Coturnix japonica: one gene and its partner. The protein of the gene in region 1 purifies or fractionates together with the protein of each later gene. This does not show direct contact. Links are inferred from orthologs where the notes say so. Each region holds a gene or a part of one and is shown on either strand. Other genes may lie near its edges.

Region 1 (4,514 bases):
AACAGGACAGCTGTTAAGCTCCTCAGACACAGGACTTCCAATTTGGGCTTTATCAAATCTGGCATTATCAAGAAGTCATGAGGATTTAGATCAAGGTGCAGATTGCAGAAGTCGGTACCTTCCATGATCCTGGCGCAGATTTCAGCTCCTACTCCAAACTGTGGCCAGCCTCCCTCTACAGTTACAAGATGGTTTGTCTTTGCAACGCTGGCTTCCACTGTTTCAATATCCATTGGTCTAATGGTGCGCAGATTTATAACCTTAAAAAAAGGCACTGAGTGAGTTTTGCTGTGATCTGATCGTGACCTTTACTGCTGTTTGGGCACTGTGTCCTTTAGCACTTCAATCTATTCTGACTTTGACAAGAAGACTTAATGAAATTACTTCTTATCCTGACAGATGCTTCAGAATGGCTTTTGGTGGCTCATCAAGCATGGAAAATGCTTAATGAGTCTCACTGTATATAATCATGCTGCTACATACTGTCATTGTTCTGCTCATTGTACAGGCAGATCAATCTGAAAGTCTCTGGTAGTTCTGACTTGATTTTGTGATGAAAAGGTCAAACGCAGAAACAAGAAATGCACATACTCTGGCAGTTAAGGCACTTACAAAAGCTTGGAGTTTATAAAGTGATGTTCTACAGAGCCTGAACAAGGTGACCCTCTGCCTTTTTCCTTGTACAGAGAAAAGCAACAGAAACCCCACACACCTCACACTCAACACCTTCTTTGGCCAGGATAGAAGCTGCTTCCAAACAGTGCCCAACAGGCCTAGAGTGCGCCACTAATGTAACATGAGTTCCTGGAACAGAAACAAGTTTTAAAGAAGAAACAAATGCAGAAAAAAAAAAACCCACCACACACACAAAAAAGCATTTTTCTTGGGCTCTTTTGTAGGTAGCATCAGTATTCTCATGCAAATTTAAGTTCCTTACATCTACATGAAATGTTAAGTATTTCTATACCTGTGAAGAATGGCAGCAGGACTATGTGAGGATAATCTTTTGATTCAGGGATCTAAATAATGTTTTCAATACTTTTCGGATTATTTTTTTTTTTACGCTTTCATGCTATTCATTGGTAAATTATAAACAGGCTGAAAAATTACAATGATATCTTCTGCATTTTGGACAAAAATGACATAGTAAGGTGAGAACTTCCCTGCACATCACCAACACCATCCTTAGGCTGAGAAAGAAACCTTCTAGGGAGGTACAGTTTTAAGTGAGAAACTGAGAACAAACAATTGAGTACAATACAGGATAAATCATATTTGAGTATTTAACAATTTAAATGTGTTCCTGTGCCCCATGATAGCAGTATTTTGAACAGCTAAGAGTCCCCAGGCAGCTTGGTTAGTAAGGATACATACAGGTACATACACTGTGTTCTCAGCTTACCTTCCCTTTCTATTTTGGCCTTTCCAATTGGAATAACAAAGTCCTTTGACTGTGCCTGTTCTGACATCTCAAAGGGAACGCCGTACAGCAATTCACTTTCCAGCACCACAACTAGAACAAAACATACTTGGATTAATTCATACCTCTGCAGGAACAGGCTGTACTTATCATTAACGGTACCGCAGAAGAATATTTGCAAGACCAATACAAACAATTAAAAGTCAATCAACTTCACTACGCAGTTAGTTTAAATACTGTCTTCAGTTCATCTCTAAAGGTAGATCAAGGGAAAACTGCAAAGGCTGTGGCTAAGAAATGTTTCTGTAGAACTGCTAGCTTCAGAAAAAGCCTTACATTTTGCACGTGTGCTTGTGAGAAAGAAAGATGAAGGTTGCCCTGATTTTGCTTAATGAGATTCTGAATTTATCATCTAAGCTTCATCAACTCTAAAAAATGAGTTACACTGTACTGTATCTGCAGGTACTTCTCCTGACTCATCTTCATCCTTTATAATGCCTTTACAATGAGTTCATAAATGTGTCTTTCAAAGCTTCTAGATGAGTACCTGCAAGCAGGTTAGAACAGCACAAAATGCTTAAGTGCTGAATAAACTTTTTATCTTTTTACATGAGGTGGGAGAGGAAAAGAAGCATTCAGAAATGAGAGTTAAATACTGCCGTCATCTGACTGTGCTCACCTGGATTATCGTCCCGGATCGATGCCTTCAGCAGCCCCTTGGCATCTTCTGAGCTCCAAGGACTGACAACCTTCAGCCCCGGGCAGTGCCCGTACCAGGCAGCGAAGCACTGCGAGTGCTGTGCGGCAACGCCAGCTGAAGCCCCGTTGGGGCCACGGAACACGATGGGGACGGCGATGGTTCCTGCAGACATGTAGCACGTCTTGGCAGCAGAGTTGATAACCTGGTCGATTGCTTGCATGGAGAAGTTGAACGTCATGAATTCACACACCGGCCTCAACCCCGCCTATCAGAGTTAGACCATACGATATGTTTTAACACCAAAGCAGCTCGTTTTGTACATCAGTTCATTAGGACTGAGGGCGTACTGACCATTGCGGCACCAACGGCGATTCCTGCGAAGCCCATCTGGAAGAGGAGCAAACAGCATTAAGCGCCACAGCTCGGCCCACGGGGAGCCCTGTGGGGGGAGCCCCGCGCCGTACCTCGGAGATGGGGGTGTCGATGATCCTCTTGTCCCCGTATTTCTTCCACAGCCCCCTGGAGATCTGAAAGGATCGGAGCGGTGTCAGCCCCCGCACAGCCCGCACTGCGGCCCCGGCAGGGCCCCCCCTCCCTCACCTTGTAGGCACCGTCGTACTGTGCCACCTCCTCGCCCAGCATGAACACACGCTCATCCCGCTCCAGCTCCTCGTCCAGCGCCTGGTTCAGCGCGTCCCGCACCGTCACCTGCGGGAAGCGGCAGCCGGGCAGTGCTGGGCAGGGCAGGGCGGCCGTCCCTCGGCTCACCCGCACCACCCCGCCCGTACGGATGAACCCCCCGCCCCAGCTCCATCCTCACGGCCCGTACCTGGATGGCGGCGGGCGCGGAGAGGTGGAAGCCTCTGCGTGGCGAGAGAAGGCGGCCTCGCGGCACCAGCAGCCGCAGCGCTCCCGCCGCCGCCGCCATCTTGGCCGTGTCCTCTATAGCACCGGGCAACGGCCCGGCCCCCGCGCTACCTCGGCCCCTGCCTGAACTCTCGCGAGAACTGGCGCTGGCAGCCAGCGCTCTTTTTATGCGTCACTTCCGGTCTCGCGCTGTGGTGGCGGTGAGGCCGTGCCGCGCTCGGTGCTGCTCGCATGGCGCCGCTCGGGGCGCGATCAACGCGGCATCGCCTCCTGCCGCCGGGACCGCACCGCCCCCACCGCCCCCCTTCATCTGTGTGCCCCTCTTCAGTGACACAACTGCCCGCCAAGGAGGCGTGGGGCGGAGCGAGGTGTCCCCACTGTCGGCCCTGAGGTGAAAGGAGGCGGCTTCCCTCCCTCACCCGAGCGGAGCGGGCGGAGACACGGGGAGGGGATCGCGGCAGAACCCGCCCCCGCTCCTCCCTCCTCGGCGGCTGCTTCGCTCCCGGTTCAGTCGCCCCCATCATCGCCGGGCTCTGCTTCAGCGCCGGGACCTGCGACTGTGAGTGTGAGGAGGGGCGGGGCCGGGCCGGGCCGGGCCGGGCTGTGCTATGCTATGCTATGCTATGCTGTGCTGTGCTGTGCTGTGCTGTGCTGTGCTGTGCTGTGCTATGCTGTGCTGTGCTGTGCTGTGCTGCTGTGGGGGGTGGGAGGGAAACACGGGGCTGTGAGCGGCCGGAGGCTGCACTGGGGGGGGGGAAACGGGGCTGGGCCCCCTGTGGGACTGCGGGTACCTGGGGCTGGGGGCTGCCGGGCCCCGTTTGGGATGTTGTGAGGCTGTACCCGGCCCTCAGTTCGAACAGGGGCTGCCCCTCGCTGCAGGAGGGCCGGGCTGGGGCCGGGAGCGGTATCCAGGCGATGGGCACTTGGGGGCAGCGGGTGGAGCGGTGCAGTCGTGTCCAGCATCCTTTGCTGAATCATTGCGATCTCAGGGGGAGATTTCCTTCCGTGCGTTCCTCTGGGATGGAAAGCGGCTGTTCCCGACTCCTCCTGTGGGCCTGGGTTTGAAGGGACGATTCTTGTCACCATCCTGCTGCTTGGTCCCTGTGTCAGCACTGTTGGCTGTGCAGGATGTGCTCCTGACACCTGCCTTCATCCAGCACTGCTGGGAGATGTTTCCCCATGCACACAGCTGCCTGCTGGTGCCATGGAACAAGATACGTGGGTAAAACCAACTACTGACACTGTGCAGAGTGACTGTGTGGTGCCAGCAGGAGCAGGGCAGGTGCAGTTGCAGTCCTTGGACTCCTGCATGAGGAGGGTCAAATGGTGATGTGGGATTTTCAAGCATCTGGCAGATGGAGCTTCAGAACCCAGTCCCAAACTGAGATGTTGTATTGTTCCTCAGGTGTGGGAAAGAAACTTTCAGAGCTTGGAATTCATAGTGAAGCAATTAGGCATAAAGGAGCGAGAATGCTGAGTGGCCACTGTTGGTGTTTTGCTCTCTTGCCTGAGGTGAAGGCTGAAATA
Region 2 (3,814 bases), on another chromosome or scaffold:
TATGATAACACGCAGAAATTCAACAGGGTTGCCTGCTGATTCAGTATCACTTCTCCTATTTAGACTTTGTCTATAAGCCTTTGTCTATAAATAATTACATAAGCGTTCAAAGCTGTCACTGCTCTTCATGCTGAGTCTATTGTACTATGCTCTTCCAGCTAAACAGGTGAAAACTCCAGCAACCAGCATTCTATATTTTCAATACATGTTTCCAGCACAGATAACTCCAGAGTTTGTGTTTCTAACAGTACGTGTTTAAAAATACTTTACAAATCTATGCTGCCTCTGCAGCTCAGAACTGGAAGAGACTGAAATAAATAAATAAATAAATAAAATGTTATTACATTGCTTAACTTTTTACTTCCTGAACTTTTTAAATTATGTCCTCTGTGTTTTCAAAATTCATAATGCCAGAAAACCCATTTATATACATCTCAGTGAATCTTGACGCCTATAATATAAAAAGAATGAAAAAAGTCACTTAGGGATATTTCAATTACTCTGTGTGTATCCACATCCAAGAAGGTTCTAAAAGAAACCTAATTTTGCTGACAAATAAGCAAAGCACAGGTGAACCACAACAGGGTGAAAGAGTCGGAGGACACAGCTTTAGTTGTACAGAGGAGTAACCTCTGGTGTCAGCGCAGAACAGTGGCAAACAAGGTAGATGGACCTTATGCTGGTTCACTTTACAGTAGAAGTTTTCTATAAAGTATTTTCAGTCCATGGAAGTTCTCACTTAGGTCATAAATGAGAAAATAGTAATGGGTATTGAATACAATTCTTAAAACAATTATTCACCCTCCGTTTTCAGTTCAAATTTACCTATTTTAGGCAAAAAGTCAGTGCTAATTTAAGAATTCTGCTGAAAGAATAATCACTTTTCTGAAATCACCCTTCTAAAATTTTCATCCACTCATTTAAGTTTTTATGGCATGTTACACTGAACAAGATGTGATCATTAGAAGACAGATTAAGAGAGACAAAGAATATGTGCAGATAGAGCTATTCTATTCTTACTCTGCTTCTTCTTAAACTATGGATACTTGCAGCATGTGGTCAAGGAAAGCAAAAGTGTTAGAGAAGCTTGAATTAACTGAATCTAATGATTAACATTTGAAGGTGAAAAACAATGTTAACTTCCCTTTATTTACCCAGTTTTCTGAAATGAACTCAAATCAAGATAACGTTGAATTATAGTTGGCATGAAACAACATAAAACTTCTACCTTTTTTTAAGGACATGAGCAAACTTCAGCTAGTTTGATAACTCAGATGTACTAGATGCTTAATTTCCCATTAGCTACATCATAAACTTAGTAGTATTATTTGAAAGGACAGTCTTCTTTGTATGAAACCATATTTGATTCATGTACTAACACTGTTATGCCTTTGAGACGTTATTTATTTCCCATTCCAGTTACTATCAGGATTTTAAGAACTCTTAAGAAAACACTAACAAAACTGGTTATGCAGCTTATGAACCTATGTCCCTTTAAACAGATGCTACAAAACAAAAATAACGTGTTTTTTCCTTCACTAGGAATGCAAACAAATGCATTTAGAGAAACGATAACATCCTTCTCAGACAGGCAGAATCCCTACCAGTATTTTTGCCAATATGCCATCATCGCTTGATTCCATGGTAACCACCGCTTTGTCTGTTTCAATTTCACACAGTGCATCTCCAGCATTCACCATTTCACCTGCAAAATATAATAGAACTTAATGCATGATCTAAACTGCTTTTATATCTCTTTAACCATTGAAGAGAGACACTTAAGCAAACAATACAGCCCTTTTACATTCTTAAACACATGCTACAGCTAGTAGATTCCCTGTTGTGATCTGTCATATTGTATTGTTCATTTTCATATACAACCAATAAGATTCAGAGATAGAAATAAAAACAGTAGAACATTGACATAGCAATGTTTACAGAAGGCATTCCAAGACAAAGTACACACACACGATGAAAATTGATAAGTAGCACTGCCACAAATGCAATCCTCAGCCTTCTCTATTCATTGCTTGTCAACAGTCTAAGTAAGATACTTAAAGTTTTTGAGGCAGTGGTTATAGGCAGCAATGCCTGTGACTAAGTATCATAGTTCCATAGCTTGTACCTACACTATCAAAGCTTTTCAAACAGAAATATGAAGAACTTCAAACTCTTTGGAAAGTGTATCTGCCAGCTTGGCTTCTCAATCTCTTCTACAGCCAAAAAAAAAAAAAAAAAAAGAAAGAAAAGCAAAACAAAAAACAAACAAACAAACAAAAAAACTTTGTGAAATACAACCATGCACAAATGTTAAAAATTCCTTTTACTACATTACAGGAATATAAATAGAATAATTACAGAGTATACCCCTCTGCTTTTCAAGAATACCCATATCTGCTGTCATGCAATAAAAGTTACTGTCTGAATTCCTTCAGCAGATCAATACTGACCATGTGGCCTATTTAATTCTGCCACCTTGACGATAAGCATCAGAAAATACCAGTGCAGGTTGTAACCTACATTTTAAAGCTTATAATTTAGTAGTTTCTACGTTTGGGTATGATTGTCTGAATTAGGATAAAAGAATATCAAGTATTTATTATCTTCGCGATCTCTGCAGGGATAAGCAACAGGGACATTCAAACCTCAATTACATAGCCTTAGAAATCATAAACAATCTCATTATGGAACTTGGCAGGTCACAAAGTAGCACCATTTTTTTTAATTTAATAATCTAATTGCCGCACTGCACTTTGCAATAACTAGAGCATAAACGGTACACAACAAGAAGCTGAATTTCCAGGCTATCTATCAGTGACTTAATCCCATTGGATTATTAATTCAAGTGCCCTACATATCAGACCATTAGGTAAGTACCTCATAGCTGTTAAGAAATCAAATTGTTGAGCAAATTTCATAACCTATATAGCTAAGAAAGGAGCATAACACCCTATATCTGCTTGCTCCTTCTCTTCCTGGAATCTGCAATCAATCTGACAATATTCTGCATCATTGAGAAGATCTCTCACTACTGCAGACTACCTAGTACTAACTCTAACAGCACAAGCTAGCAAAAATATATATTTATATCACACATTTGTCCCTTAAAACATAACTCCTAACCCAGGCACATGGATCTGTTCATAAAAAGCTAAGGACTCTTACGCAGGGAAGGCAACTGGAAACGACTTCAAGGAAATGGGTAAATCACTTTTCACTTGTTTGAGTTTGTATTCTTTCCCCCGTTCCCAGTAAACATTGCAGCCAAGAACTGGTCACAGATTTGGAAGGCAATTAATCAAATGCAATTTTAATCAAGAATACTTCACAGCTGGCTTCAAAATCTCACGGGTTTCAGTGACTAACTGTAATAGAAAGGACCATAGTTGTTTCCAGTATAGAGTGCAAAATGTGATAGTTCCAAAATAGGGCCTGATTTGATGTCAATTACAGATCAGCTTTCACTGTAGAGATGATTGGGAAGAACGGCTTTGCAAAACATTACCTTTGTTTTTACATTTTTGAATGAGAATGCAGTTTTTGCAACAGCAGTTGCCTTACTAGCAGAAAGCTCTCTGAGATTATATACAATGCACTTAAAAATGCTTTTTATTTTCACATTTAAAAGATAAAAACTTAAAGGAGTCATTTCTTATAGCTAGACTGAATGATTAGTACTTCTACTGAAACTGACTTTCCCTCTAGGAAATCCCTTCCAACTGACATTCAATAGCCTGAATTCTCCATTCAATTACTAGCAGACAAGTATCCAAATCACAAGATACAAACTGCATTCTTTGAAGTGCTCTTTGCA

The links.
Region 2: the proteins of PDHB (region 1) and PDHX purify together in Homo sapiens (affinity purification with mass spectrometry; 4 studies listed by BioGRID and IntAct, counting the BioPlex papers as one, with this or other methods). This does not show direct contact. The link is inferred for Coturnix japonica from reciprocal best matches to the Homo sapiens genes PDHB and PDHX.

What each region holds. Positions count from the first base shown.
Region 1 is NC_029527.1:9,335,452-9,339,965, forward strand, and holds the start of PDHB (pyruvate dehydrogenase E1 component subunit beta, mitochondrial), read right to left. Parts: upstream 3,113-4,514; 5' UTR 3,049-3,112; coding exon 2,950-3,048; intron 2,829-2,949; coding exon 2,721-2,828; intron 2,648-2,720; coding exon 2,585-2,647; intron 2,508-2,584; coding exon 2,472-2,507; intron 2,386-2,471; coding exon 2,100-2,385; intron 1,514-2,099; coding exon 1,403-1,513; intron 805-1,402; coding exon 713-804; intron 261-712; coding exon 119-260; intron 1-118. UniProt on the Homo sapiens protein: The pyruvate dehydrogenase complex catalyzes the overall conversion of pyruvate to acetyl-CoA and CO(2), and thereby links the glycolytic pathway to the tricarboxylic cycle.
Region 2 is NC_029520.1:5,982,735-5,986,548, forward strand, and holds part of PDHX (pyruvate dehydrogenase protein X component, mitochondrial), read right to left. Parts: intron 1,706-3,814; coding exon 1,605-1,705; intron 1-1,604.